Linked DNA regions of Notamacropus eugenii. The protein of the gene in region 1 purifies or fractionates together with the protein of each later gene. This does not show direct contact. Links are inferred from orthologs where the notes say so. Each region holds a gene or a part of one and is shown in the gene's direction. Other genes may lie near its edges.

The links.
Region 2: the proteins of PPP6C (region 1) and TIPRL purify together in Homo sapiens (co-immunoprecipitation; 4 studies listed by BioGRID and IntAct, with this or other methods). This does not show direct contact. The link is inferred for Notamacropus eugenii from reciprocal best matches to the Homo sapiens genes PPP6C and TIPRL.
Region 3: the proteins of PPP6C (region 1) and PPP6R3 purify together in Homo sapiens (affinity purification with mass spectrometry; 10 studies listed by BioGRID and IntAct, with this or other methods). This does not show direct contact. The link is inferred for Notamacropus eugenii from reciprocal best matches to the Homo sapiens genes PPP6C and PPP6R3.
Region 4: the proteins of PPP6C (region 1) and ARHGEF2 purify together in Homo sapiens (affinity purification with mass spectrometry; 4 studies listed by BioGRID and IntAct, with this or other methods). This does not show direct contact. The link is inferred for Notamacropus eugenii from reciprocal best matches to the Homo sapiens genes PPP6C and ARHGEF2.

Annotation. Positions count from the first base shown.
Region 1 is NC_092872.1:447,465,598-447,472,624, reverse strand, and holds the start of PPP6C (serine/threonine-protein phosphatase 6 catalytic subunit), read left to right. Parts: upstream 1-3,955; 5' UTR 3,956-4,020; coding exon 4,021-4,188; intron 4,189-7,027.
Region 2 is NC_092873.1:478,322,482-478,329,713, reverse strand, and holds the start of TIPRL (TIP41-like protein), read left to right. Parts: upstream 1-4,143; 5' UTR 4,144-4,408; coding exon 4,409-4,512; intron 4,513-7,232. UniProt on the Homo sapiens protein: May be a allosteric regulator of serine/threonine-protein phosphatase 2A (PP2A). Isoform 1 inhibits catalytic activity of the PP2A(D) core complex in vitro. The PP2A(C):TIPRL complex does not show phosphatase activity.
Region 3 is NC_092873.1:20,815,260-20,823,284, forward strand, and holds the start of PPP6R3 (serine/threonine-protein phosphatase 6 regulatory subunit 3), read left to right. Parts: upstream 1-4,941; 5' UTR 4,942-4,948; coding exon 4,949-4,960; intron 4,961-8,025.
Region 4 is NC_092873.1:380,102,123-380,110,040, reverse strand, and holds the start of ARHGEF2 (rho guanine nucleotide exchange factor 2), read left to right. Parts: upstream 1-4,834; 5' UTR 4,835-4,850; coding exon 4,851-4,853; intron 4,854-6,745; coding exon 6,746-7,026; intron 7,027-7,918. UniProt on the Homo sapiens protein: Activates Rho-GTPases by promoting the exchange of GDP for GTP.

The DNA of each region.
Region 1 (7,027 bases):
TATCTGGAACTGTGTTTAGAATTCAGTAGGTATTTAATAAATATTTGTTGATTGATTTATTGATATATCTCTTTAGATATGGGTGAATGGCTTCTGTGGTGCCTTCTGATTTTTGAATTCTATAATCATCTAAACTTTGACTCTTCTCTAGCTCCAAATACAGGCCTTATATTTAGTGGGCTTTTTGGGAATATTGTTACATAGTTTCCTTGAATGTCAGAAAAGTTAAAAGACTTCATAATAATGAAATTTCCATTTTTATAGTACTTTAAGATTGAATCAATCAATCAATAAACAAGTACTTATTTAGTGCCTACTATGTACCAGGTACTGTGCTAGGTGCTGGGAACGCAAATATAATAAATGAAATGATCTCTATTCACGAGGAATATTTACAAAGAAAGCTCTTTCTTTGAAACAACTCTATGAAGAAGTATGTATTATCTTCACATTAAGTTGAAGAAGCTGATGCTGAGAGAGAAAGAGAGAGAGAGAGAGAGAGAGAGAGAGAAGGAGGGAAGGAGGGAGAGAGGGGGGGAAAAGGGGAGAGGGGAGTGAGGAGGGAGAGAGAGAAGGAGGGAGGGAGGAAGAGGATGATGAAGGGGGAGAAGGTAAGAGAGAGAGAGGTTGAGCATCTCGCCAGTGATCAAATGAGTCATTGCTAGGGCTAGACTTTGAACCTGTGTAGCCCAGGCCAGCACCATGCTACCTAAGATCACAAAACTAGAATCATTTTTTCCCCTGAGAAGTTCAGAGTCTGTTACAGACACCTTTATCTTTAGTAATCAGAGCATTTAAAGCTGGAAGTCTGAGGCTTTCATTTTAAAGGTGAGGCCCAGAATGAAGGAGATTTGCTCAAGGTTACAAATGTAGGAGGTAACAGGATATGAATTCAGATCTTCTGATTCCAAATCTAATGTGTGTGTTCCATGACATGACTTGCACTTGACTTTGTTTTTGAGTGAGGGAAGGCTGTGCAGGTCACCAGCTTCACTTCTCCTCCAGAGCCATCTGAATCCAGTGACTGCATATTCATCAGGATGACTGGAGATGACCCAGGATGAGACAACTGGGGTTAAATGACTTGCCCAAGTCACACAGTTAGTGAGTGTCAAGTGTCTGAGGTGAGATTTGACTTAGGTCCTCCTGACTCCTGCACTGGTGCTCTATCCACTGCACCACCTAGCTGCCCCTAGGTGGTGGCAGTTAGGTGGTACAGTGGATAGAATGCTGGGCCTGGAGTTAGGAAGACTCATCTTCCTGAGTTCAAATCTGGCTTCAGACACTTACTAAGCTGTGCCACACTGGATAAGTCACTTAACCCTGTTTGACTCAGTTTCCTCATCTGTAAGAGAAGAAAATGGCAAACCACTCCAGTATCTTTGCCAAGCAAACCTCAAGTGGGGTCATGAAGAGTCAGTAAATAGTGGGAAAATCTAATGACTGATCAAAAGATCCTAAAGGCCACAGTCCTTTGTGGTCCCTATCCACTTCAAAAGTGATTTTGGCAAAGTAGCAAAAAAGGATTCAAGGGGTGGTAAACATTATGCAATTTTTAGATGATCCACAAATTTTAATAATAGTGTTAATCCCTATTTCACAGGACTGTTTTAAAGAGCAAATGAGATAATAAATGCAAAGCTTTAAAAGCCTTAAATATAATTGTCAATTGGCATAGAAATGTCAACTATTATTATATTTCTCTTAAAAAAAAATCACAGAATCCTAGAACCATCTCTTCTGTCCAAGAGTAGTCCAGATCCTTCCGGTGAGGGTTAGCCATACACAGAGAATCCAGAGTACTCGGTCTGCGTACTTAGAGATTAAGGAGATTTTAGGGAGCATCTAGTACAATTGACTCATTTTAAAGAGGCAAAAACTGAGACGCAGAGAAGGGACGTTAACTGGCAGGCTGGGCAGAATGGGTAGAATGTCGGAACTGGGAGGGCACTTGAAGATAATATGGGGTAAACCCCTCATTTTAAAGATGAGAACAACGGAGGCCCAGAGAGAAGTGATTTGTCCACGGTCCCATAAAGAGCACGGGGCCAGAGACGGGGCTGAGATCCAGGTCTCATGTCTCCTAGGACTCTTTCTGTGAAACCACTTACTGGTTTGCCTGGATTGGGATCCCGGTCCTCAGTCAGTCCGTCTCCTCCCGTATCTTGGCTGTCGTCTTGCTTAGTGCAGCCGGGAAGGACACCCGGCGCGCCTATGTGCACCCCCAGGCCTATGACGCGGACAGGATTCCCCTCCCCAGGACCTGGAGATCAGCCGGTCAGCCCACAAGTTCCTACTATGTGCCAGGCATTTGCTAAGCGCTGGAGATACAAAGAAAGACAAAAAATAACCCCTGCTCTCTAGAAGCTCAGTCTAGCGGGGAGACAACCTGCAAACAACTGCGTACAGACAAGATACAGACAGGATAAACTGCATGTCATCTCTAAGCGAAAGCACTAGCAATAAAGGGGAGCAGGAAAGGCTTCTTGCAGAAGGTGGAATCTGTGCTGAGACTTGAAGGAAGCCAGGGAAAGCAGGAGGTGGAGGTGAGGAGGGGGAGCATTCCCGACCAGGAGAACCGCTACCGAAAATGTTCTGAATCGGGAGATGGAGTGTCTGGTGGGAGGAACAGAAAGGAAGCCGTGGTAACTGGATCGTGGAAAATAACGCGGAGGAAGCCTGGAAAAGTAGGAAGGGGCCAGGGTATGAACTCGGCTGTGAGTTGGGGGGCTCGAGGAAAAGGGGGGCGAGGGACAGAGAATCACGCAGGGCGGGGAGGGGCAAGGGGGAGGGCTCCATGGCTTGGCTGTCCAGAGAAGGTTCTCCCACGTCACAATTCAGCATCGATCCCCTGCACGAGACAAGGCGGCCTTTGCCTGCTGCATGTAGGTGTATGTGCAATTCTCTCAGCGCGTTTATGTGCATAAACCAGAGGTATAAGAAGCGCTGCTAGATGTGGGAAACTACAAATCCCAGGCGGCTTAGCGAGTCCTGGTATGTTTCCAGAGACGCACAGGTCTCTGTCGTGTAACTCCCGCGACTCTCCGTCTTGAGCCATTCAGAAGTAGGGCTGTAGGGGCTGGCAGAAAGAAGAAGCGGAAGGGCAAACTTTCACGCCTTGACGCAGAGACGCTGCGCGTCTACAGGAAGTGACGTTGAACAGAGTTCCGGCTTCGGCCTTCTCCGCCGCCGCCGCCACTGCGGGTTGTTATTCCTAAAATGGCGCCCCTGGACTTGGACAAGTATGTGGAGATCGCGCGGCTCTGCAAGTATCTGCCGGAGAACGACCTGAAGGTAAGGGCCGGGCTTCTGGGCCGTGCCGGTGGGGCCGCGGGGCGCTGACTCCGGAGTCCCCCGCCTTCCGGGAGTGGTGCAGCTGAGAGTCCTCCCGCCCTTCTTCCCTCCTTCTTTCCGTCCCGGCCCCCGCCCCTGTCAGCTCCGGGAGCCCCGGGGAGCGGGGGCGCCGGCAGCGCCACCTCCCTGCCTCCCGGCGGCTTCTGTGCCTCTTCCCTTCCCTCCACCCCTTCCCCACCAGGCTCTGGAGCCGAGCTGCAGAGAAGGGGGGAGTAGCCACAGAAAGTCAGAGCTAGAGGGGCCCTGAGACATCGTCTGGTCCAGCTTCTCCGTTATTTTAACAGATGGGGAAACGGAGGTGCAGAGAGGGGTGGGCACACCCGAAGTCAGCGGCAGAGCTTGGCACGGGGTGAGGGTGGGGACGGGGGCAAGGGGGCGTAGGCAGTGGCCTGAGGTCGGATCTTGAAGCTCGCTCGCCTGGCGGTTCCCAGCTGAGACCTGGGGGTGCCTCTCTCGGTGTGGTCCCCCATCGGCGATGTGGCAGGGGACGTGCCTGCTCCAGAAGGGGTTCTGCGGGGTGATTCTTGGAGCCCCTTCCAGTTCTGAGATGCTCTGATTCTGTCATTTAAGGGGAAAGTTACAGTTGAAGTGTTTGAAGGGTTGTCATGTGCGAGAGGTATCGAGCTTGCTCCGCTTGGCCCCCGAGAGCAGACTTAGGAGCAGTAGATGGAAGTTGCAGCGATTGCGCCTCGATGTAAGGAAAAACTTCCTGCCAGACCACAGCTGACCAAAAGTGGAATGGGCCACCTCAGACCTCCCCTTCTCTGGAGGTCTTCCAATAGAGACTTGTTGGCCCAACTTCTTGGGGAAGCTGTAGAAGGTATTGCTGCTCAGGTATGAGTGGGTTCAGATAACTTCTGAAGATCTTCTAGTTTTTAGAGACTGGGGTTTTGATAGCTGTTTGTACTGAAGGTTCCGTCCCCTGTCCCCTGGAGAAGAGGGATTAGACTTGTTCTACCTGACTCCACGGACCAGAAGTAGGAACAAGTGGGTACAGGTTTTCAAAGTGGCGTATTTTTCAGATTTCCTGAAAATTAGAAAAGGGGGCAGAGACGTGGGGGTTCGGGCCGAGAAGATCGGGGGTTTAAGTCTTAAAAGAGTCTTTGACATGCACAGTGCTTGTGGCCTTGGGTAAGTCACTTAACATCTTAGGGCTCAGGCGGCTGTTTAAGACAGTGAATTGCAGAGAAGGTGCCAACTTAAATTGGTAGAGGGAGTTTCCTCTTCTGGGATTTCTGTACACCAAGTCAAAGGTTCAACCCCTGTTCCCTCTTCCCTAAAAAAATAGAACAGGTTTATAATGGAGTCTGCTCCCTGAATAAGTTGCGAGTGTCCAGGTGCTGGATTTTGTCAAGCAAACGGTAATAAAGCTCATTTATTCAGGAGGATTTAGAGGGAATTTATGTTTAGTTACAGTATAACTAGGTGATTTTTGAGGTCCTTTCTGACCAAGAGTTTTTGTGATTCTACTGTTGTTGCTCTCTCCTTAAAGGGGGAATAGCCATTTTCTGATCCTTGAAGATTCGGGACTGTTAAGATCAAGCGTTTATCTCTCTGCTTCAGATTGTAGCAACTTGCTTTGTTTTGATTGAGTGGCTAATGATAGCCCCATTTTAGACTTAACGATACTTGCAGGGAAAAAAAGTTTTCTACTTTGTTGCAGAGTTTGAGTGTACAATATTTAGGTTATTGTTAAAATATGATAGCAGATAGACATTGTAATTTAATTCAGGAAAGTGAAATAAACCATATTTCCTTATTTCTCTCCCATGCCTCAAATTGACGTTGCCTATAAGACATAACAGGACAAACTTACTTGCTTGTTATACTTGTGTAAAGGTGTGGTAAAATAAGCTCTTTTGTTAGAATGTAAGATCCTTGACGGTACAGATTGTTTCATTTTTTATATTTGTATCTCCAGTGTCTGAGTTCCTAGTATAGTTCCTGGTACATAGTAGGTGCTTATTAGATGTTTATTGATTGACTGGTGCCTCTTTTAGCTGTTTTTAAAGTTTAATCTTCTCCCCTCCCCCAAGTTGTTCCTGATATACTGCCATGTTTTAGTAATTTGAGAATGAAGGAATTTAAATCTCTGGAATATTGGAGGTTTTTTTCTAAGTGGTTTCTATGTGTAGTGCTTAGTTTTTGTGCTTACAGGTGGGGACTAGTGCCAGAGTATTGGTTTACTTAGTAAACTTTGATCAGCTGTTTGCTAACTGGTTAACCTGTAGACAGATTTCTTTCCCTTTTTGAGAGATTAAAGGAATTTATCAAGGTAAAATGTATAAATTCTGTTCTTATAAGAAAGAGGAGTCTTGCTTCTTTTGCTTTGTAAGTCTGCTCAGTTCGTGAAATTTACACTTAAGTGCAACAATTAGTATAAGCTATTATATTTTGTTTGGAAGAAATTTATGGGCAACTTATTTTTAAACAAGATGTCTAGAAACAAATGAGAAGTCAAAAGATTGTTTCAGTAATCACAGTTGTGCACATTTGCATAGGTAGTACTTTGCAACTTATGAAACATTTTCCTCATAACACTCTTATGAAGCCGATTATATAAATACTATCCTAGTGTGCACCAGAAAAGTGAAGTGATTTGTCTGTAGACATGTAACTAGTGATAGAGTTGTGATGGCAACTGAGGCCTTCTGACTTCCATTTCTAGTGTTATTACTTTTCTAATTTCTCTGTTTCTTCATCTCAGTGTCTTAAGATTTTATCCTTGATTCTTGTCTCTTGGCAATCTCATTTCCACACCTTCACCCATTACTGTAATACAGATGACACCCAAATCTTGTTCCACTCCTGGCTTCTCCTGAGTTCTGGATATACATGAGTCCTTCTACATGAGTCTATACAGGACCTTTCACTGGCACTTCAAACTCAATAAACCCCAAATTGATTTCTTATTTTTTCCCCAGTACAGTGGAAAAAGCATTGATTTAAAGTTAGAGGACTTGGATCTGAGTCTAACTTCTGCTGTATATCAGCTATGAGACCTTGTTTATACTTCCTTACTCTCTGGGCTTGGAGTTCAAAGATCTGAATTCAGATCAGCTTCAGAGGTCCTTAATAGTTTTGTGACCTTGACAAATCACTTAACCTCTGCCTGCCTGAATTCCCTCATCTGTACAATGGGATGATAATAGAACCTACCTTACAGGGTAATGGGGATCAAATGAGAAATTATAAAGCACTTAGTATAGTGCCTGATACATGGTAGGAGCTTAATAAATGTTCCCTCCTTTCTTCCCCTCCCTTATGCACTTAGGTTAATTATTGGTTGTTTTGTATTATAGTTGTAGTTGTATATATGTAATAGAGACAGCTAGGCGGTGCAGTGGTTAGAGTATTTGACCTGTAGTTAGTGTAGTTGCACACTTTGTGTGCAAATCTAGCCCCAGACACTTACTTTGTGAACCCAGGCAAGTCATTTTCTGTCTCAGATTCATCATCTATAAAATAAGGATAATAATAGCACCAACCAAGGGTTGTTGTAAAAGTAAAATGAGATAACAATTGTAAAGTGCTTCACAAACTTTAAATTGATAAAGAATTATTATTTATCATTGTATCTGTTATCATGTTCTATCCTTCTCTTAGATTCTAAACTGTATGAAGTCAGGGATTGTTTCTTACCTAAATTTTACAACTCCCCCTTGTTTCTATT
Region 2 (7,232 bases), on another chromosome or scaffold:
TTGCTTGCAAGTATGAGCTCAAAAAATAAAAAATTCTTGTCCTTTGCCTAGTATTGCCTAGGCTACCCAGAGAAACAGGAGGTACTCTAGAGTCTCAATGACATCAGCCTGGAGAAGTTTGGTGCAGAGAACACTAGAGGGCGGTGCCTCCTTGGACTGGTGAAGTGGAACATTGGGTTACTGTAATATACCTGTTACAGAACATATTTGTGATTTCCCCTCCTTTTAAAAACAACAACAACAATAAACAAACTTTCTTTTGATGTATTGTGGCCAGCTTGCAAGTGGGAATTGGTGTCAATGACCAATCTTCAATGGAGAGATTCTTCAGGCGGGAAACTGATTCAAGAAGAATGTGGGACCTCCTCAAATAAGTAGATCCAGTTCTTTGACTAGAAGAAGGCCTTTGCCAGGACAGAGTGGCAGACTCATCTTCCTGAGTTCAAATCTGGCCTCAGACACTTACTAGTTGTGTGACTTTGCAAATCACTTAACCCTGTTTGCCTCAGTTTCTTCTTCTGTAAAATGACCTGGAGAAGGAAATAGCAAACCACTCCAGTATCTTTGCCAAGAAAACCCAAAATGAGATCATCAAGAGTTTAACATGATTGAAAACAACTGAATAAAATCAAGCCAATACATCCATGTGGGTATCCTTCCCATAAAGATCATAACTTATCCATGCCTGCCTACCTTGTATGACCTCTGTCCCCATCATCCCATAAATTCATATGTTTTTAATTTTTTCACTAGAGCTGCTAAGCATGCCAAAAGGTTCTGAGGTATTGTTGGACATAAGTCATTATCCTCTTCTTGAGTGATATGATTTCTTCTGAAAATGTAACAACTCCAGGCTTACCCAGCTCATAACCTAGCCACTCATCCACCTGCCCTGTATTACATATTAGCCATAATTCAGGAGATTCCCTCTCTTCTGCCCCCACTTTATCTTTTCCACCCCTTGCTCCCCCACTCAGATAGACCTCATTAAGAGCTTACCATATGGTAGGCAACTCCTAAATTTTCACCAAATTTCAATTTTACATGCTTCATGTTTTTAAACCCACAAGACATTTCCACAATCCAATCAAGAATTCTATATTTTATAGAAATATAAATTACTCCAAGTTCAATGCCTTAGGCATTCTTGGTTGGATTGCAATTATAGTGAACAGAGCCTCGATCTTTGGAGGAAGTTTGTATTGCTGGGTACAAGTATGTTCAAATCCTGTACCTTCCAGTTCTAGGCTATAATGAATGACCTTTGATTCTGTGAAACCCCACCATCAATCCCCACACACCCTAGTCAGTAAACACTGCCTAATTAGTCGGGGATTCCTTATCTGGGCTTACCACTACATTATGTATGATATAAAACAAATGAACCTCACCTAACTCTCATTCACTTGGAGCTATCCTACCAGATAGAATGAGGACGAGGAAAAGAATATATGAGTAGATATAAGAGCAGTAACGTTCAACATTGAAAGCTTAAGGAGCTTTTACAATTTTTTTAGCTTAGATAAAAGACAGTTTGGGAGGGGCATGATTTTTGTCTTCAAACATTTGAATATTTGTAATATGAGAAAAGAGATTTAGTCTGTGTTGCTTATGGAATTTTAAGGCAGATTGTGGTGCAACATAAGAATGAACAGTCTAACAGTTAAACCTGTCTAACAATATAATAGGCTCTGTAAGAGATGAACTGAACTTATGTAATATCTGTAACACCAGTGATAATCATTTAATATCATTTTGAATTCTCAATAAGGGTCGGAGCCTGGACTAATCAACCAGAAGAAGAACCTGGACCTAACAGCTTCTTTGTTCTCTGAGTAAACTCAGAGAATACTTCTTCCTATGTCAACAAGGCCAGATGGGGCTGACTTAAGAACAGCCATTTTTTCTGTTTATGACCATTAACGATGAGACCCTTAACCTGAGATGCTATCTTGGATAACGGGACTTTTTCTTAGTATCTTATGGACCCATACTATGTTATATAGCATGTCAATGGTAAAGAAAATGCAGATATCCTGGGTTGTAATTTCAATGGACACTTTGTCAACTCTTTTATCTTATTGTGTTTACCACCTATTCAATTAAGATATCACCTAGCCTGTTTGCCTCTTTAACCAAATTTTCAAGTCAGCCAGAAAGACTGTACATCAATTAAGGCCATTCCTTTGAAAGAATTTATGACTTGCCAAAATATAAAGGAAATGAGAATGTGGTGATGGGGGGTTGAAATGTGAAGTGTAATCAGAGGTGGAGTTTTAAGTATCATGGGATAGACTGGGAACCCAGCTACTGCCAACCAATGGGAGCAAGGGAGAGAAATGGGAATTGGGGTGAGGTATAAATATTGTATATTTGCCTTAAACAAGTGTGCCTATGTTTAGATTACCTGCTCTTGAAAGGACAAAATAAAATGCCTTCCCGGGTTTATCAGTTACTGTCTTATTCTTTTGCAAGCAACATGCCTCACAGCTCTGTTAATGGATAAGGAGTTCATTATTACTGAAGGAGCTAAAAAAAGAGTTTGGGTGACTAGGTCATCTTTCAGGAATAGTGTTAAAAGGAATGCATGTGTTTGCATGGGAATTTGGGCCAGATATCTAAACTACCTTTGAGTATTCCAATATTCCATGGTTCTGTAGCCACATAGATTTGCTGCGTACTTGTGCAGCCTAATTATCTGTACCACAACCTCTACCTCTCATTGCTACTGGCTCATTTATCTGTTAATTGTCTTTCTGGGTTCCCAAGAAAAGTAGGTTGTGGATATCTCAAAGATGACTATTATTACAGTTTTTTTTTTTTTAAATAATTGGTTTGCTTCCCATCTCACTCTGAGCTGAGGAAAATCTCTCTCTTTTGAGTTGGCTCCCCTCCTTCAATTCCAAAGTATGCACTTAATGACTTGGACTAAAAATCAATGTAAATGACTATCCACTTTAAAAGCAGTTCCAACTAGCATATGATTCAAATAAACATTCCTTCGATTAATAGGCTATAATATTGCAATGGGAGAACTGAATCTTTTCCCCTTTACCTATACTCTCCCTCCTAACTGTACAAGGGGAAATGGGAGGATAAGTAGTTGGACTGATAGCCTGGGACTCCTCCCAGGCAATGCTTCAGAGGGGTAAAGAGAAAAGTGCTTCGGACTAGGTTCCAGTGGTCTGTCCAATTCACCCAAGTTTGTTGAACCAACCATCTTTTCCAACTTTGGTCCACCCTCAGCCACCCCATGAGGTGTCAACTTCACTTCTTTACCCTGCTTTTTATGATGGGCAATGCTCTTTCCTGGCCATTCCCTGACGTTTCAGTGGAAGAGGAGGGGTGGACCGGCTCTGCCCACAGACCCTCTTTGGTATTTCCTCCTAGAGTTCCTCTGCATTCTGGTCTTGTGACTTCTGGGCATAAGAAAATTCTAAATCCCCCAGGAACTTAGTAAACTGGATAAAATCCATGTGTTTTTGTGTCTAAGCAACACCCTTCGCCCCACCGACCCTCCACGGCAGTATTCCTAGGGGGAAGGCTCGAGGCCACCTCTCCCTATGGAGGATGCTACAGGCTTACTTATGGGAGAATCAGGATGACGTAATCGCGTGTGAAAGTTTTGTTACTTTGTTTCATTAGGTTAACCACGTGCTTAAGAGGAACCTCTCTGGATTGTCCGCATAATCAGAGCCGTGGGCATCTTCCAAAAAGACGAAGTCAGCTTCAGCCTCGCCTGGCCTTCGCTCCTTCCCTCCGGGCATCCAGGGAGATGCCAGGCTGTAGAGGGGCAGTCCTTGGGGGCTTCTACCCCTCTGGACCCTGACAAAGGGACGGAGCCTGATTTCCATCCTGGGCCTGGAGAACAAACGGACCTCGGAACGTTCCTCTGGGAAGTTAAGGGGAAGCTTCCGTAGATCACATTTTATAGGAAACAAACAAACAAACAAAAAAAGGAAAGTGATGGGTAGGGAAATTGCACCAATGAAAACCCAGCACCTCAGGCTACTTCTTGAGCCCCGCCCCCCGCCTGCGGAAAGGCTGGCGATGACATCATCCCATGATGCCACCAAGTCCGCGCCCGCTCCCCGGGTCCAGGCCACGCCTCTCGACTCCCCCAGCCCCGCCCCTCCTTCCTTTTCCTAGGACTTCCGGCGCGTCGCAGCCTCGTCGCGCAGGCAACCTGCTCCCGGAAGCGGAAGGAGAAGGCGGGGGCAGGCGGGCCGGCAGGAAGGCGGGAGGAGCAAGGGGCCCAGGCAGTGGGCTGGGCTGGGCCGGGCCGGGGAGCGGAGCGGGGCGGGGCGGGGCCGGGGATGGTAACGGCTCGGGGGAGGAGGGGGAGGTGGGGGCGGGGGAGAAGGGAGGCCGCCGCGGCTCGCGCTGGTTCCGCGCCACCACCGTGGCCATGATGATCCACGGCTTCCAGAGCAGTCGCCGGGACTTCTCCTTCGGGCCGTGGAAGCTGACGGCGGCCAAGACGCACATCATGAAGTCGGCCGATGTGGAGAAGTGAGGTTTGGGGAGGGCGGGGGAGGAGAGGTCGAGGCCGGGCGGCCGGGCGCGGGCGCGGGCGCGGGCATGAGCAGCACTGGGGAGGGGCGGTCGCTCTCGGGGCCGCTCCCCGCCCCCGCGGGACCTCGAGGCCTCCCTCGGGCGGCTGCAGAACTGCCGGCGGGGCCCTGCCCTGGACGCTCCGAGTGCGCGTGCGCGGCCGCGGTTTGACGGACTCTGGGCCGCGCTCCTGCCCCCGCCCCCTCCCGCTGCCCCCTGGCCCTGGAGTCTGGGGCGGGCTAAGTCCGCGTGGGTCCGGGAAGGAGCGCCGGACCTCTGTAAGTGCAGGGGCTTGGGTCACATGTCGTCTGGACTGTAGACCAGAGGCCAGACGGCAAAGCTCGGCATCTTCCAGCTCTGCATCCCCAATCCACAGAAAACCCGGATTCTTGTCCAGCCCCTGAGCCTGAGTAGCCTTGCTACATGGGGCCAGTTATTTAGGACTGTAGATTAGGAGGTGCTCATTTGCATTGGGGAGAAGGAGTTTTCTCTGGAAGCTCCCTCCCCCAGGAGCCCCAAACACCACCACAAACACTAACCAAAACCAAACTTTATTCTTGGGTAGTATTTCTAGGCTGGTGGTTTCAGGCTACTGTTTTAGACTATAAATGAGGAGTTGTCTGTGTACATTGGTAGGGAGAGTTCTCCACAGTGAAAGAAAGCGCAGGCTCTGACCCAGAACAAAAGGATGCATAAAAAAATACCAACTCAAAACAGACATTTTTCGTAGAGAGCATCTCTTACGTTGTCATTATCCACATGCTGCTTTTGACGCTAATCATTCAGTCTGTCAGTGTTACTGTTGGGAATGTAAACTAGGAGTTGAGTTGTTGGAGTAAGTTTTCACACTGGGAGTTCCATGTACTAACAAAATTAACCTGCTCCCCCTTCCAAAAATGCCCCAGAACAACCAACACAAATTTTATTCCTAGGCAGTGATTTCTGCATACTTGTACAATTGGCAATGTTGAGAATACATCTCACCAGACATGAAATGGGAGGTGGTACCCTTATTTCTAGGTAATTATAAGTAGCCAGCCCTCCAACTGGTTTCTTAAAACAAATCTCAGCGTATTCTGAAAGTGAAGTGGACTTTCTTCCTCACATTTTCCCTTAGAATATTTCATTTTTCTCCCGTCTTGACTTCTGCCTGCTTGGCTCAAGTGGATATCAATTGAGGAAATGATGGTAGGTGGGAACGTAAGGGATAACAGATAACTCACATCTTCTGGTGATATGTTGAAGATGTAAAAAGATCTGTATCATATAATAGGGCTCTTCTCTGGAGGATCTGTTGAAGACAATGGATAAGAATTGCATAGGATGAAAAGCCTGAGTGCATTTTGGTTCATACCATGAAGGTTCATACCATATCCATGGAATTACAGATTTATTGAAGTATTGAAATACACAACAGATTCCCCTGCACATGGAGTAGGGTGTTGTTTTTTTTTTTTATTTCTAGCACCCATCACAGTGTCTTGTAATATAATAGAGGCTTTATTAAATGGTAATTGAATTGCGTTTCCTTGCCCTCCTAAATACTGAGGCAGCTTTTGACAGGTTATAGTTTGGTATTGATTAGATATGTTTGGGATAAGATTTAGAGAAATTGTAAGAAGGACAATTTTGAATTTTGTGACATATAAAAAGTCTAAGGGACATATAAAAGGGTCAGTTGCACTCTTAGTTGCCAAAGACCTCTCATAGAACCCACTCAATGCTTACATGCCCCTAGAAGAAGAGTTAGGTGCTGCTAAGGCTGGAAACCAACTCTTGATTGGTTTAATGAATTAATACTATAATAAGAGTCAGTTAATTGGAACGAGGGGCTGGCGGATGTCACTCAATCTTGGACAGATCTCTTATCTGGACTACCTCCACCTAGGGCAATCAGACTTGACTGACTAAAACACTGTGGGCCAGATTTTACTGGATTAGAATCTCTTCACCTTTTGATCAGATCTGAGTTTTCCCAGTGGATGTGTCTGTTCAAGACTTCATCTCTTTATCAGTCCTGCCCTTTAAAACTGATTGAATGACCTACAGGGAATGATGAAATAGATTGGTTATTAATATGAGAGAGAAATATTCATTTCTCTCAATTGTAATAGTCAGGGACTCTTGGACAGTTTTTATATAGGAATATATCCTTGGGTACAGTAGCAGTTCAGTGACTTCAGCCATCACGAATGCAACATAGGACTCTTTTTAGAGACATCCTCTGAGAATCCAAAATAGTTATCATAGAGCTTATTCTCTAAAGTGGTTCTCAAACCCTTTTATACTCTTATTAAAGATTATTGAGGACCTTCCTCCAGTAGCTTTTGTTTATGTGAGTTGATGCTATTGATACTTGCCATAATAGTTACTGAGCTAACATTGTATGCCAGGCACTGTGCTAAGCTCTGGGGATATAACAAAAGGTCTACAAAACAAAACAAAAACAGTTCCTGCTCCCAAAGAACTCACACTGTAATCAGGTGGACAACACGCAAACAGCTATTTTCAATTAAGATATATACAGAATAAATTGGGTCTCACATGAAGGGCTAAGAGAGACTTTTGCAGAAGGTGGGGCTTTAGCTGAGAATTGAAGGAAGCAGGGAAGCTAGATAGTGGAGATAAGGAAGGAGAGGAGAGCATTCCATGTTTGAGGGACAGTCGATGAAAATGCT
Region 3 (8,025 bases), on another chromosome or scaffold:
CCTGCCCTGAATGATGTTTAACTTCTGGTTACCCAGGTTGCAAGTCTTGGAGTTGTTCATGATTTCTTCCTCTCCTCTCTGGATCCTGTTAGCCATGAAATGCTGCCCAGGCCTCTAGGACCCACCGTGATTGAGGCCTAATACCTTCTGTCCCATGTATCCATCTGTGAGCGATAGCCCTGCCCCAGGCCTGGCTGCCACTCTGCATGGGCCTTCTCGGGTGGCTTGTGTGCCTTTGGGCCCTGCTTTCTGCCTGCGGGAGGGCCACCTCCCCACCTTCCCTCCCCAACCTTGAACTTGGGCTTGTTTTTTACTTAGCACAGCCCCTTAGTGCAAGTGCTTAATGATGGCACAGATCTTATAGATGCTTCTGCCTTTTTTTTAACATCCCAGTGGAAGCCTCTTCCTTTCCTTTGAACTTGATTTGAAGTCTGTGTTGTGGCCTGTCTGAGTGGGACTTTGTGTGGATCCTGCCCTCTGACCAAGCATGGATCCCTGGGGCTCGCTTCACTCGTGACATTCTGAGTTGAAGTTAAGCTCTTTGGGGCCAGGCCGGCCCCATCCAGCTCTGCAGTTGTCACATGGCCTATGACACTCTGGGTACTCTGCCTCCATTGAGGCTGACTGTCTGTCTCTACGGTATTTCCTCAGCCATCAGTATGGTAATTGTCCAAAAAAAAACCCCAAACCAAATGAGATGAGTCTCTCATGCCTTTTCCTCCTGAAGCCATGTTGGCTTTTCGTTCTCACCTCACCATTTCCTTTGTCAAGGACATGTTCTAGAGAGTTGTCTTCAATCAACTAGGCTCATGCCTAGACCTTCTCCCATCCTTTCTTTGCTTCTTGCCGTCTCCTGCCGTCTGATCTTTTCCCCAGTGTGTCTGCTCCCGGGGAGGGCTGCCTGTGCAGGCAGGCCTGAGGAAGCTGGGTGCTTGCTGATTGTCCCAGATTCATCTTTCTTGGGTTTCCATTTGGGTACTGTTCAGCCTGGAGGTCGTTCTACCTCTTCTGTCTTACGATTGTCCCATTCTGATGCTGGGGGCAACAGAGGAGATCCACAGGAGATCTGACACCAAAGGAGACTGAGGCAGCCTATCAGAGATCCCAGGGACCTTCAGGGCTAGTGCTTCTAGCCCCTTGAGTTGGGGAGATGAGAGCTGGCTTCATGTGCCTCCCCACCCTCCACCCCCCATCCTAGGAAGGGCCCCAGGACACAGCCTCTTCTTTCATTCTGTGACCCTTGACCCTTGTTCCCTGTGTTGCTCTGATTCAGAGTCATTTTTGGCAGAGGTAAAAACCTTGTAACAATGCTGTCCATTTCCCTCTTCATGTCTGTTCCCTTCACAAACTCCCCTCATCTTAGACCTTTTCATCATCTGGTGCTATGAGGCCCTTGTCTCTTTTGGAAAGTGCTGTCTTCTTTAGTGTGTTCTCTGACACTCTGTGTTCCTTCTCTTGTCCCTGACCAGGCTGAGGAATAGCTGTTTTCCTTGCTCTTCCTTCTCCTTTGCTGTTCCTATTGAGCATGCTCTCCTTCTTCGGTAGCATCGCCTCCGTCACAGACGTCTGTTGGCCTCCAGGTCTCGGCCTCTCTTCGTCCCCACTCTTGCCCTCCTCATATGCTGGCATTCTAAGCTCATGCCAGTGATGGCCTCCCTTAAATCTCCGCTGTCAGCCCCGGTTGCTGCCTCCAAGCAATCCTGTCATCTTTCCCTCTTCCTCAATCCTCATTCCCCCCAGAGGGGCAGACAAGACATTCTCCAGTGGCCGTGGCATGGCCTTGGTCCTTCCCTCTCCTGCCCAAGCTGGACGCATCTTCACCCTGCTCTCACCCAGGGCCCTGTAACAACACCTTTGCAGACCCTGTTTTTAGTCCCTGCCTCCTGATCCTGTTGACAGTTGTCTGTCATCCAAACCCCGGCCCTGGGCTATGAACCCCAGGCTTGCTTGCTTCACTCTGTGTTGGTTATTTCATCTGTTTTCCCCTGACCTTATTGGTTTATTTAATTTATTTTTCCCATCTCCCACTCCCTATGGCAGCCATTCCACATGTCTTCTTTCTTCATCTTCCCTTCAGCAGAGATGTTCACCCATCCTTCCCCTTTGTCATTCACCCCCAGCCCCCCACTTTCATTCTGTGCTCTTCTCCTTGCCAAGCCTTGAACCCCTCTCTTCATCTCCTGCACACTTGTCCCATGAATGGTCCCCCTCCTTTCTCCCCGCATCTTACAGGCTTGCCTGGGTCTCTTCTAGGCTTGAAAAGACTCTTCACTGCAACTTGTTTCACCTTCCTCTCCTCCTTAGCCTTTGTCACCTGGCTCCCTGCCCTGCTTCTCCCAATAGCACTAAATCTAATGGTCATTTCCTCATTCCTCACTCTGTGTTCTCATTTGGTAGTACTGGATGCCCTTTCCTCCTTGGCCTTTGATTGCTAGACCCCTGGGAAGCTGGGGCTGTACTTGATAGTGTCATGGGTCACATGCCAATACTTATGCTTTATAACACAAATAAAATTCTGCCCTACCTATGAAACTTTCCCCTTAGCACGTTAACCTCTCCCTTCAGACTTGGTCACATCACTGCTGTCTTTGTCCTGTGCTCATGGTGTCCTTTGGTTACCTGGGATTGTCTTTTCCTTTGCTGGATGGTAAACTCCATGAAGGCAGGGACTGTGTTTGTCAAAACACCAGATGTGCTGGAGTCTTTGCGAAACGTGCCATCCTGATGACATCAACTCTCTCCCCTCCCTTTCTTTCTCCTTATCAAAATGATTCCCAGCCTTCAAAGACTATTAGCCTTAGTTTAGGGTCTGCTCTGATGGTCTGAGCCTAAACCTGGGCAGGCCTGTTGAAAACAGCATAGCAACAGTAGCTAGCATTTAGAGAGCTCTTAACAAACTGTAGCTCATTTGCTTCTTCTCATAGATCTTTGTCTATGGGCCACTGCTTGAGGGCATGCCCCAAATCTTTGGCACCTCCATTTCCCCTTTTCGGAATAGACAGAGCTGTAGAGACCTCTGCAGATGCTCTCGGGTTATGCTTGCCCTCAGAGATTATTTGGCCTTGGAGGGTCTTCACTGTTGAAATTGTGATGCTTTGGTCACATTTCCTGGGATCTGCGTAGGAAAAGATTCTGGTGGTTTGGCCTCTTGGATCTGAGGCTTTGGGGGCAAAATGATTCTTTTGTGGAGACCTGGAGAGAGGGGACGGGCTTTAAGACATTGGAGCAGGGAGGTGAGGGCAACAGTCCTCCCACCCCCAGCAGCTGGGAGGCCCTGAAGGGACTGCTTTCTGTCTCTTTGTCTGTTCCTCTGGGGCTCCTGAATTCTCTTCCCAAAGGCAATATGCTCTTTACTGTTTTCTCCAGAATCCAGGAGGTTTAGTCACATCTGAGCTCTGGTCTTCAGATCATGATGTGTAGACTCCCTTCCTTTGGTCCTTTTTGGTAACTTCTGCAGCAAACTCACCCATTCTTCTTGGGCAGGATGATTCTGTTTTTTGTTTCTCTTTGGAGATTATCCAGTGACAAAGCAAATCTTGGGGAGAAGTACTGATACCATGCCAGCCTACACAGGGGCCTTGGCGAGGCTTCTGTCCAGGCCGACCTGCATGGCAGGCGACTCCATTGCTCAGGCTCAGTGGACGTAGGAAAGCCCAGGTGTCACATTAGGGTACATGGCTACGCTGAAATAGTACCTGTCCATCTCAGATGGAAGTTCTTCCTCACTGAGGGGAAAACTTGAGAAAAACCCTCCCTGAGACTTTGAATAGCAGCTTAGTGCAAAGATTACTTAGACCTTGAAGTCCAGAGTCTGAGTTTCTGATTTCACCCTAGATACTCAGCAACTCCTCCCTCAGAGCCCGGGCAGTGTCACTGGGACCCAGAACCCTGACATCTTGGGTGACTGGGACAGGGCAGGGTGGCTGCTCACTCAGTCTGTGTAGGCCACAGGAAGGGGCTTTGGGACTGGCGAGCTATAGAGGATTTGAATTTAATTATTGGTGTGGTCTGTTCTAAAAGCTTGTGCGGTGTTGGAACAGCTGGTACAGCAGGGTGCTGGGCTTGGGACTTGGCCTGGGGGTGGACTTTGGTGGGAAGAAAGTGCTGACTGAGGCACCCTGAGGTGTGGGCTGTGTTGGCAGCAAGCTCCTCTGTTGTGCATGTTTCCTGTGCTTGTGTCCTGTACAGGCACTAGGGGGTGCCAGAGTGCATAGAGCACTGGGCTAGGAGGCCCATGTGGCCTCAGACACTCCCTAGCTGTATGGCTTTGGGCAAGTCACTTCACCCTGTTTGCTTGTTTGTTTATCTGTAAAATGGGGCTCACACTGGTACCTACCTCCCAGGGCTGTTGTGAGAATCCAGTGAGGTATTGTAAAGTGCTTAGCCTAGTGCATGGCACTGAGTAAACTGGGGCCTAGGTAAACGTCAGCTGTCAGCATCACCAGCGTCGTGACTGCACTCATTCACTGTCCCCTTTCCACCAGGGCCTGATGTGAGCTGGGAGCACTGGAGGGGAATTCTCATTGTCAAACCCACTATGTCAAGATTTGGAATTTGAAGAATTCCATCGAGCCATTTATGAAATTATTCAAATATCACACAAATGCTTGAAAGGATATTGTCGTCTCCTCTGTTGTAGGAAGTACAGATTGTGTTTAGAGTAGGCGGGAGATTCAGTTTTTTGATTCTGCTTTTCAGAGGTTTTCCCCTCCCCATTGCTGCGTGTTTGGGTAGAATGTAGTAATTGTGCTCACCGGTACTCTGACAGCTTCCTCTAGCACATTTGATGGCATTATTTTTCCTTATTCGAAGGGACCTGGGCTCCTGTTGAAAAGTGCCGGAATAAACTGAACTCTGCACCTGGCCCCAGCCCAAGAGAGACAGAGCGAGAGACAGGCACCCTAATGTCAGCTCGCCCAGGAGGGAGTTTCTCAAAGAACTCAGGGACATGTTTGCAGTAGTATGCTTCTTCATTATTTCATCTTTTTTTTAAATTGAGTGATCAGCTAGTAGCCTTAGAAATGTGTCTTTGTTCACTTAGTGCACAAATAGAAAATTTGGTCGTTTTCAGGTGTTTTAATGGTGGCCGAGTTTCTGTCACAAATACCTTCACAGCAGGGAATTGAGTCCCCTAACAGCTTTATTATTTGATGGTAAAAAGGCTGATTTGATGAAAACAAGTTGTTAGAGAATTGTTAACATTTCAGATTATACCAGTGTTGTATGTGCCTATGCGTGCCTGTGCGTGCCTGTATGCATTCCTGTGGGCGTGTTGTCTGCCCGTGCATGTGTGGGTCCGCTTGTGCGTCCATGTGTGTGTCTGTGCATGCATTCTGCTCTCAGAGGCAGGAGCTTCTGCTCTAACTTCTGCTTCTAGGAGGAGTCCTTCCTAATTGTGCTCCAGATTTTTAGAAGTAAAAATTAAAACTGAGGACTGGGAACTCATTGATGATAGCTTCTGTCTTTCTAAGTAGCACCAATGATTATTGGTATCTTGATGTGAAAAATTAAGAATTCTTGGACCATTTAAAGACTGCCTTACAGAATTCATTTCCCTTTGAGAAAGTGATTCCTTTATCACAAATTGTGGTTTGTAGCCAACTTTTCTGGAACAGATCAGTATTACTAGGTAAAAAGAAAAAGTTCATTTGAAAACTCAAGCCGAAGCTTTTTAGCAACTCCTTCCAAGATTGAAAGTGGCCTGAATGTGTCATTTTAATCTATAGGCATCAGAGTCAGATTTAAAAATCTAGTTTGTCAGTAACTTGACATCAAGAATGGATATTTTTATGAAGTTATTAAAAAAAACCAAGGCATTACTAAGACCTTTCTATGGTGGTTGCTGTGGCCAAATCCCACACTCTCCTGCCCCTGAATTGGCATCTAGCTTCTCCTGTGAAAGACCCTCAATCCTGGCATTGGGCCTGCCCTCTGTGCCTACCAAAGAAGAGCTAACATTTCTGTAGCAGTCACTGTAGCCAGGCACCGTGCTAAGCACTTTGCAGTTGTCTGATTCAGACTCCCGGAGTCAGAACAAACTTGTCCAGGTTCACACGTTGAGGAAGTAACTGAGGCTGGATTTGAACCTCAAGTCTTCATGACTCCAGGCCCAGTCATTTCCACACCACAGTGAGACTTCAGAGGACTTGCGAGACTGGTCTAAGTTGGGGGCCAAAATTCTGAATAAGTGGGCCCCACAGATTGGATCTTTTAGCCTAGTTCAGCAGTTGGCTTTTGTGTTTAATGCTTTGAGTGGGGCACAAAAATCACTGAAAACTGAAGACTCAGTAGCAGTTGCTTCTAGTGCACTCAGCCACGAGAAATCATGGTTTGATGTTTGTGATGAACAGTTTGGGGAGAACTGGTGGTCTAAGCGTTGAGGAAAATATTTTTAATTTAGAAGAAATTTCTGTTACTGTCTTAGAGGTCTAGAGTTCCTGTGGGACTTGTCAATAAATGTTTATTAAATGCCTCCTGTATTCCAGGCACTTTGCTCAGTGCTGGGAGTGCAGATTGAAGTAAAAAAAAAAAATTCCTCCCCTTAAGGAGTTTACACTCTAGGGGAGCGGTGCAATAAGACCTGGGGGAAGGCTAGTGGAACAGCACATTTAGGGTTAGCACGCTGAACCCCTCCCTTAAATGGAGGCTGAGTTTGTGGGTCCCACTCTCCAAGCCCCAGGACCAAGACCTTCTGGGATGGAGATGTTATTTCCCTGGTGAGCTGCCTGGGGAGAAATGAGAAGTTTGTTCCAGTGTGTCCTCTTTGTTTCAGCCACAGATATCTCAATGACATCCTGAGCCCTTCAGACTTCTAATTTCTTGGTGGCTGAAACATTTGATCATTTCTTTCACCTCCCTTGGGGGGGATGGGCATGGCAACCAGCTGCTGGTCTCTAAGATTCCTCCTTGACATCCTTTGCCTGTCTCCCTTCTTTTTAAGTCTTTTAGGCCAAAATAAAATAGTAAAGACAATGCTTGGTTTCTTCAGATTTTTAACCTTTCACAAATTTAGAGGTATTAGAAAATAATCCTGAACAAAACAGTAATTAGTGTGTTACTGATATAAAGGAACTTGGGAAAGAATTTATTGTGTGTGTGTGTGTGTGTGGGGGGGGTGCTCTTGAAAGAGAGTGAGGATGTCATGGCTGCCTTTGTTTTACATGAATTATATTGTCAGCTAGAGACTGGTTGCTGTTACTTTTTTTTGTCTGTTTCAAACAATCATTTCTTTAACCTGTCTCTCTGTCCACTTTTCTTTCTTCATCCTGTTCCTTCTCCAAGCAGAGAGCCTTAGTTCTTTGTGAGCTCAAGCAGGACTTGTGGCAGCTGAGTGTCCCAAGAAGCATCCTTGTAGCCAGATGGGGACTTCTGCAGGCCCTTTTATCTCAGGGATTGGAAGTTTGGGCTTTGGCTTGTTCTCTTACACTTCCTTGTGGGTCAACTGTCTTTGACAGCACCAGATAAGGCTGAGAAGGCAATGGGTATCAGGTGGGCCCGGTTTGTAGTCCCATCACCTCTGAGAGAATGTTTTCAGCTGGGAGTGATTGTGCTATCTACCAAAGCCACATTCTAGGAAATAGTTACCATCTTACAAAGGCAGCTAGGTGGTGCAGTGGATAGAGCACCAGTGCAGGAGTCAGGGGGACCTGAGTTCAAATCTCACCTCAGACACTTGACACTCACTACTTGTGTGACCTTGGGCAAGTCACTTAACCCCAATTGCCTCATCCTGGGTCATCTCCAATCATCCTGATGAATATCCGGTCACTGGATTCAGATGGCTCTGGAGGAGAAGTGAGGCTGGTGAGCTGCACAGCCCTCCCTCACTCAAAACAAAGTCAAGTGCGAGTCATGTCATCATTTCTCTGATGGCATGGTCTTCTTCGGTAATGAAGGACTAATACACATACCATCTTACAGCTGTCTCTGTCAAGGAGCGAAGGATGATTCTGTCCTTAATATGCTTTGATGGGGTGATGATTTGTTATTCTCCTGATAGTGATTGTTTGTTAAAAGATTTCGGGC
Region 4 (7,918 bases), on another chromosome or scaffold:
AGCCCCTTGGAGAGGTTGTTATCAGGGAGGGGAGCTAGCTCAACATCCTCCCTACAGTATCCACAACAAGCTATGTGACCATGCACTAGGTCAATCTTAATTCCTGTTGGCTGGAACTAGTGCCCTTCCCAGATACAGCAGCCCCAGCTACTGCTCCTCCCTGTGTTTTTCCTTTAAATGATGAAAGCACAATCTTTCCCCTCCACTAGCCATAATGTCTCTCTTAAAAGGACAGGTAGGGCCAGAGGCATGTGTCTCTACCCTATTGAAGTCTTGCCTGTGGTTGAGCTGTGAGATACTGAAGTGGCTCCCTTCCCTAAAGTCACCACTTCTAATCCCACCCTTTTTAGCCTCTCCTTTATAAGCTCCACCTCTTCCTCTGGGAGAGTGAGTCCCTTGGACAATCTCCTATCCGATCACCGACCCAGGTAAACTTTAATTGGCTTTATGTAGTCTGCCCCAGGCAGGCTCCTCTGCCCAGAAAGTGCCCAGGGCAGTGGACTCCAGAGTTCCCAGTGTAGTGGTGGAATTCAAGGGGTTAAGGGAGTCAGGCACAGTACTGTCTGGTGTTTATAAGTGCAGATAGTAAGGGCAGGAGGAGTTGAGTAGGCACTTAGTTTGGACTCAAGCAAGTCTCCCACCTCTCTGCCCTTGTTCTTTGGACCATGAGAGACCCTCTTACTGTGCTCCAGAGAAAGATTCCCAGTTGAGGTACCGAATTGGACAGAAACCTGCTTAGGCCACCTGGAGCGAGAATTTTCTCTGGAAAGAGTCTCATCTGCAGGGGGCTGGAGTAGGTTCCCCAACAACGGTGAGTTTGTTCCTCCCTTTCCTCCAACCCAAGCTCCTGTCTAAAAACAGGAGTAACCAGAAAAGTGGTACTCTTTAGGAAGCCTCTCTAGCCCCCTGATAAATCACTAAACCCTTTGTCTCCTCATTGACTTTCACCCAGCTCTAACATTCGATTGTGTCTGTGGGAGTATGTTTGGGATGTATGTTTTCTTGTTGGAGCTCCTCATTCAGCCATCAAGCCATTTTCCCCTTCCCCCCAAGCAAATACTGTCTCTCCTCCCAGGGTAGAAGTGGGGAAGGCAACAGAGACCCTAGCCTTCCAGCTCCCATGTTATTATATCCCCATGACTTGGGGACCCAAGCCCTATTTCTAGTTGTTCTCCAGAAATTTCTTGATGGGGGTGGTGGAAATTCTGTTCTAGGATAGCCATTCCCTGGCCAAAGTCTCTTCCTTCGTGTGTGTCCTACTGAACCTCTGGTTGTCCTACCTCTTTACCACTGTATTTGGAATCAATGCCAAGAAACCAGCCTTAAATGAAAGAGGATTGGCATTCTCCCCTTTCCTCCCAACTTAATATGCTCTTCTCTGAATACCACCATGCCTACCTCTTAGTTCCTCGTAAGGGAATTGCTCTCTCAGGGTAAAGGTAGCTCAGGGGTGGGGGGAATAGTAATGGTTATGATAAGAAAACTGATAGCCATAGTGCTTAACAGTTTATATTGTCTCACTTGAGCCTCACAGTATCCTGCTGAGGTAGGTACTATAATGACTATTCCTCATTTTATATATGAGGAAACAGGCTTAGATTAAGTGATTTACCCCCTGGTCTCTCTGTCCAAAATGGGATTTGAATGCAACAGGTTTTCCTGATCCCAAGCCCAGCACCTTTTTACCCTGTCAAACTGCTGCTTGTGGTGAAGGGGAAGAAGCTGAGATGTCTTGCTTTCTGATCCGTTATACGCTATAGCAAGAGAATGTGTGGTTAGTCTTAGGAGGTGAAGGGATGCTGTGGTCCCTTCCCAACAGAACTGAATTGCTGGAGATCATTGCTGGAGAGCTGGTGGCTAACTCATCAGTCTGGCCCTAGAGTATACAAGTGAGTGGCTGGCTGGAGGCAAGCCTGGAAACTGGTATGGGTCAGTGGCAGGGGTACTTGGTATATCCCCAGCCTTGCTACCTTCCAGAGTTAGTGCCTGTGTCCCATCTCATTAACTTTGGGGGTCAGGAGGTGGCTGGGTTTCTGGATTTAGGGATCCTAGTCCCATCATTCTCTCTTCTTCCTGTCTCAGAATTGGGTCTGCATTTGTTTTCAGTGTTTGACTGAGAGGTTGGGGCTAAGTACTTAATTAGGTGCCAGGATACCCAGGGTAGAGATCGAAGATTTGTCAGAAATTCTTCTCAGGTCCTCAGAGGTGGGGTTGTGACTTGAACATACAAAGCCCAGCATTCTAATAACCTCAGGATTCAAAATTGCCAGAGTGAGGAGGAAATATTAGAGCCCTGGATTCCTGGGGTCAGCCCTAGGCTAGGAGAGTCACCAGGTGCTATAGGAGGTAGAGATAATACAGAATCTACTGGGACCTTTCTCACTAAGTGTCTTAGAAGAGACTCTAACTTAAGCATGAATGCTTTAGTCCTCACACTAGGACTTGAATTAATGATTTACCCAAGAAGAGGAGAAGTGTAGTTAAATTTTGAACCATCAAAGGACTGTCTGTGACCCTGGCTCCCTAGAGCTATAAGGCCTGTAAAGAAGCCATTAAACCATAACATCCAGCCTCTCCTTCTTCTGAAGTGGGGAGGGGATGGGGGGGAAAGAGGGGGAGAAGAGATAGGTATCTTTAGGAGGTAGGTGTCTTTTTTTTAAAGTTACTTTGAAGAGACAGTTAAGAACCTAAAACTCAGTTCCTAGGAGCCTCCTAGGCCTGAGAAACGATCAAAGTTGCCTCCCAGTTGTAAAATGCTTGGTTATTAGTTTGACGCAATCATCTTTCTACTCTCCTGTGTTTCCCTCTCTTTTCCAACCCTTCTATGTACCTACCCCCATCTCTCTCTGTCTCTGTCTCTGTCTCTGTCTCTCTCTCACACACACACACACACACACACACACACACACACACCACACACACACACACCCCAGCATTTACTGGCAGCAAACACTTCTGGAACACAGCTCCACCACCCAGCTTTTCAGGGAAACTGATGGAATGGACAGAAAAATTTTTAAAAATGTTTCAGTTTGGGGAGTGGAGGGACTGTCTCTACCTGATTTCTTTTAGGACATGCTTGGTTTCTTTAGGGGATTATCTCCTAATTTAGTATGAGATAGTTCTTCATTTTTCATTCCAGCTATATAACTGGGGGCTGGAAGCTGGTCATGCTTTGGACCTACACACTCTCATTTACATTCATTACCCTCTCAACTGCCCAAACCTCTCCCTACACACTAGGTAAGTGGGAATGCCAGCCTCTGGACCCAGTAACACCTTCTCCAAGCCAGACTGACAGACTGGTAGAGTGTTTCTGTGGGTAGGCATTTTGTCTTCTGCTCAGGGTGCCCAGGGCAGCCTAGTGCAGTGGTTAGAATGCTGGACAGGAAGTGCTATCAGGAAGTCCTGGGTCCAAATCCAGCCTCAGGCACTTACCAGCTGTGTAACCCTAATTAAGTCATTTCTCAGAGTCTTAGTTTCCTCTTCTCTAAAATGAGGATAATAATAGCCCCTACCTCACAGAGATAATGTATGTAAAACCCTAGGAAAGAATCATAATATAAACGATTATTTTCTTGTTCCTTCCATGGTCTGGGTCTCTTCCTTTTATTGGGTAACTGTCCCACCGTCTTGCGTTAATTTCAGTCTGTTTGTCTTCTGTTCTTTTCTCTGTGAAGATGGTTCGCTATCATGTAATTCAGGTAATAGCTGAAGATACTCAGACCCCCATTCCTGGCTCTCTCTGCCTTGGACAGGCTCCTCAGGACTCCCTTTCTCCAACTGCAACATGGACTGACACTTTCTCCCTGCTTCCTCACTTCTCTTCTGCCCCTCCAAAAAGCTTGTATCTCAGGTAACCTCTTTGAATACCATGGTCAATTTAGAGACAAGGTTCCCCCTCCTCTCAACCTGAATTCAGTTCAGTGAATGCGTCTCTCCCCTCTGCATTCTTTTCTTCTTAACTGTTCTATCACTCAACATTGAGTACTTTGCTCATTGCTCCAAGAATGTTGACCAAGTGACTAGTTCAGTTGTTAACTGCAGCAGAGGGGATGCAGGTTAGACACCCAAAAGGCTTCCTTGAAGTTAGAGATGGTTCTTGAAAGGGTGCTTGAAAATGGAGATGCATGTTGACCCTTCAGGGCAAGAGAACCATCCTACCTTGAAGGGGATGAATGAACTGACCTACTCTCTTCCTGAGGTTCTTCCCCACCCCACCCCACCCCCAAAAGTGTTGAACAACTCAGATCTATTTCGGAACCTCCTATCTATGCTCAGTGGAAACAGCACTGTGACATGATATGATCTCATTCTGAAGCTAAATAAAGCCATTGTGTGAGACCCAGCTCTGGCTACTACTCCCTTGTTCCATTTCCTAAGCTCAGGAGGCCTGTGGGGAGAGAGGGCTTGAGGGAGAGTCTTTGGAAGGAATAAAGATCATGGAACAGAAAAGGAAATGCAGCAAGGAGGCCAGGGTTTGGGAAAGGAATTACCAAGAGCTGGTACTGTTGGGGAGGCAGCCAAACCCCAGTCCCTTGAAGAGTAGAGTGAGGCTTCTATGTGACAGCCCAGGGACAAAAGAAAGGATTTTCTGGAAGTGTAAGAAGAGACTTTCACATCACAGTGCTTGAGAAATGCCTCACTGGCCTTCAGTTTCTTCCTCTGGAAAATGATGCTATTGGTCAATGTGATCTCTAAGATTCATTCCGACTCTAAATCCTGTCTCTGTGTCATCAGAGGGAGGAAGAACTTCTGGGGATTCCATCTTCAGAAAGACTAGAATGTGAGCAGAGGGAATCCCACCACTGGTAGAGAGAATTGGAAAGCCTTCCCCTGGATGGACCAGCATGGTACTGGCACCAGGGAAGTGGGCACTTTGGGCTTTGGAAGGAAGAGGGAGGAACTCCGTGATATCAGAATCAGGGGCTGTGTTTGTAGGGCTAGGGGATCAGGTGATTTGTCTCCAGGAAGGGAGAGAAAACAGGAAAAGACTTCGGTTCATTTCCTTCTGCTTGCCATGCCTCTTCCTATTTTAATTCTAGATATGGAGCTATGGGGTGGAGGGGAGAAAAAGCAGGTGAGAGAGATAGGGGTGGTTTGTTGTTGTTCAGTTATGTCCAATTCTTCATGACCCCATTTGGGTTTGGGAGTTTATTTTGGCAGAGATACTGGAGTGGTTTGCCATTACCTTCTCCAGCTCATTTTACAGATGAGGAAACTGAGGCAAACAGGGCTAAGTGACTTGCTCAGGGTCACGTAGCTAGTAGTGTCTGAGGTCAGATTTGAATTCCAGTCTTCCTGACTCCTGCTCCAGCACTTTATCTACTTCACCACCTAGCTGCGTGGAGATAGGGGTGGAGACTCACTACTTATTTCCATGTGCATCTAGAGACAATAAAGCTCCTATTCTCTCCTCATTTGTGCCCCCTCCAGTCCCTCTCTAGTTCCTGTCCCTTTTCCCTCAGCCACAGTTCCACACAATTTTGTATCTACCTTTCTCTGGAAAGTGCGCAGTTGACAGAGAGTCCTGCTCTGACCCCAGAGCTATTCAACATCTTTCCCACTCCCTTCAGACATACCTATCCTGGCTGCCAACATGATCGGATGCCAGCTTGTACAAATGGCATAGGCCCAGCTATGGAGAAGGAAGAAAGTCTCTTCTGGTGGCTGGCTACACATTTGTCATCTCCTTGGCATAGGAAGGACATGGATAGGCACAATGGCTGCACCTAGTTTCCCTTTCCATCCCTGGGTTCCATTGGTCAGGAACAAAGACCAGCTGCAGAAGTCTAAAAGCCTGAGTCTGCCTTAGGTGGTAAAGGGTCACAAGGTTGTAGATGACTGGCCAACAATCTCTTTTTCTGTAGCTTCTGCATGTAGCCAGGGATAGTGGGCAAACTGGATTGGGAGGGAGGGAAAATAGATGATAGGAAGAACTTTTTGACATTCAGGAGATCCCTGGGGTAACCAATGGACTTGGGAGAAGTTTATGCTCCACCTTCATACCCCTTCCCTTGATGGTCCTGGCAGAGGGAATGACCCTCCTGCCTTTCAACAGATTATAACCACTCCTGAAATCTCACTGGATAGTGAGGTGTAATCCTTAGAGAATTAGTCCCTGGAAACTCAGATGCCTGTATCTCCATCACAGCAAAGGGCTTAAAAATGTGGACTAGGCATTGGTTTGGTGGATTGGTTGGAATTGCTTCATGGATTGGGATTTCATCACCCTCAATGTCAAAAGTCCTTGGAGAGTTCATGGATCTTTGATATAATCTAGCATGAGCACTGTTACCGAAGTGCCTGTCTCTAAGAAGGGCTCATTTGCTACTTCACAACCCATCTCCATGCCAAATCACCTAGAATATACTCCACCCCTTTTGAACAATAGCTCTGGAAACTATTCATATCAACACTACCATTCCTAGAAAGGCCATATCAATTATTTGTCAAAACATACTTGTTTGTATTTATATCTAATAACTAGCATATAGTTATTTTCATTCATTCATTTGAAAGAGGGTGCAGTTGATAAGGTGAGAGAAGTCTGTCTCAGGGGAACAAAAACCAAAGTTGGTTGGTGTAACTGGAAACCCTGGCATTAAAAAAAAGCAAAAATGAAAGATATTTAGGAAGCTAGCCTGGAAGGATGAGAGTTGCCTCTCCTCATCCAAAGTAGGAGGCCCTTGAAGGAGAATACCCAAGCCTACCTTCCCCCAACCTCTATTTGTCTTCTGTCTAGGCCAGCCCATCTGCCACTTCCATGAATGACAAAATCCCAGAGGCCATCCTGGCAAGAGGAGACCCCAAGCCCCAAGGAAGAACTCAGAGATGCCTGTCAGCCGTGGAGCCCAGCGGGCAGTCTCAGGAAGAAGAGGAGGAAGAGGAAGATGGCTTCCAACCAGTGCTCCGCCGAAGAGCAAAAGCCCATCAGGCCCGAAGCTACATTTGTGATCCTTTCAGACGACATAGTTGGGAGCCTGGTAGTGTGTTCCAGGAAGCTGCCAATGATCCACTGGGAGGGTAAGCCCCCAAGGGACCTATCTATTCTGCTTCCCCACCTATCTTTTCAGAATCCTTAGACTTAGGAAAAGATGGAATAGTGAGAAGAACTAAGTTGCTTTAGTACTTTAATCACTTGCATACAGATGCCCTCAGATTTGGGAGATAGGTAGGGCAGGGGAGTCTGAGACCTCTAGTTACCACCTAAGGGACTTAAATGGACAAAACCCAGGTATCTAATTCAGAATCTCTTTTGGACTCTAGGGGTTCCTGCCTATGGTCTTAGAGTAGATCTCTTTTAGTAGCCTAAATTCCTCCAATAATCCTTCTTTCTTGCTTTTTGAAGAATTGGGAAAACTGAGGGAGGGGAGAACAGGATTCCCTTTCTTAGCTACTATTTTCTGTCAGTACTGGGTTCTATCCCTGTCTTTAGCTGCTATTCTCTCCCTTCCTTCCTAAGTGTGACATATATCTTTAATCTTGAATTTTGTAGAATCATGGACAATGCCAGGAGAAACCTTATAGTTTATCTCATCTAACTCCTTTAATTTTTCAGATGAAAAAAACAGGGAAGGAGAGAAGTTCAATTGTTTCGGAGATTTCTAGGGAGAGTTTAGCATAGTACCTCCTACCCCACATTCAAGAATATGCCAACCCACGGATTTCACTCTGAGGCTAGCACAAAAGTAACTTCTCAACAATTTTAAATTTAGTGGACTAAACTTGCATTTTGATAGAATAAATTCTCAGCTTTTTGGGTATTCTAGGAGTTAGGATACTTTGGATATGGGTAAAGGGAACAGTCTACACACCCCCAGAGCTGGGCACAGGGAGACAGATGGAGACATCTCTCCTGGAAAATCCCTGACCATTTCTCCAAAGACAGAGGAAGTCAGGAGAAAAAGAACCAGGG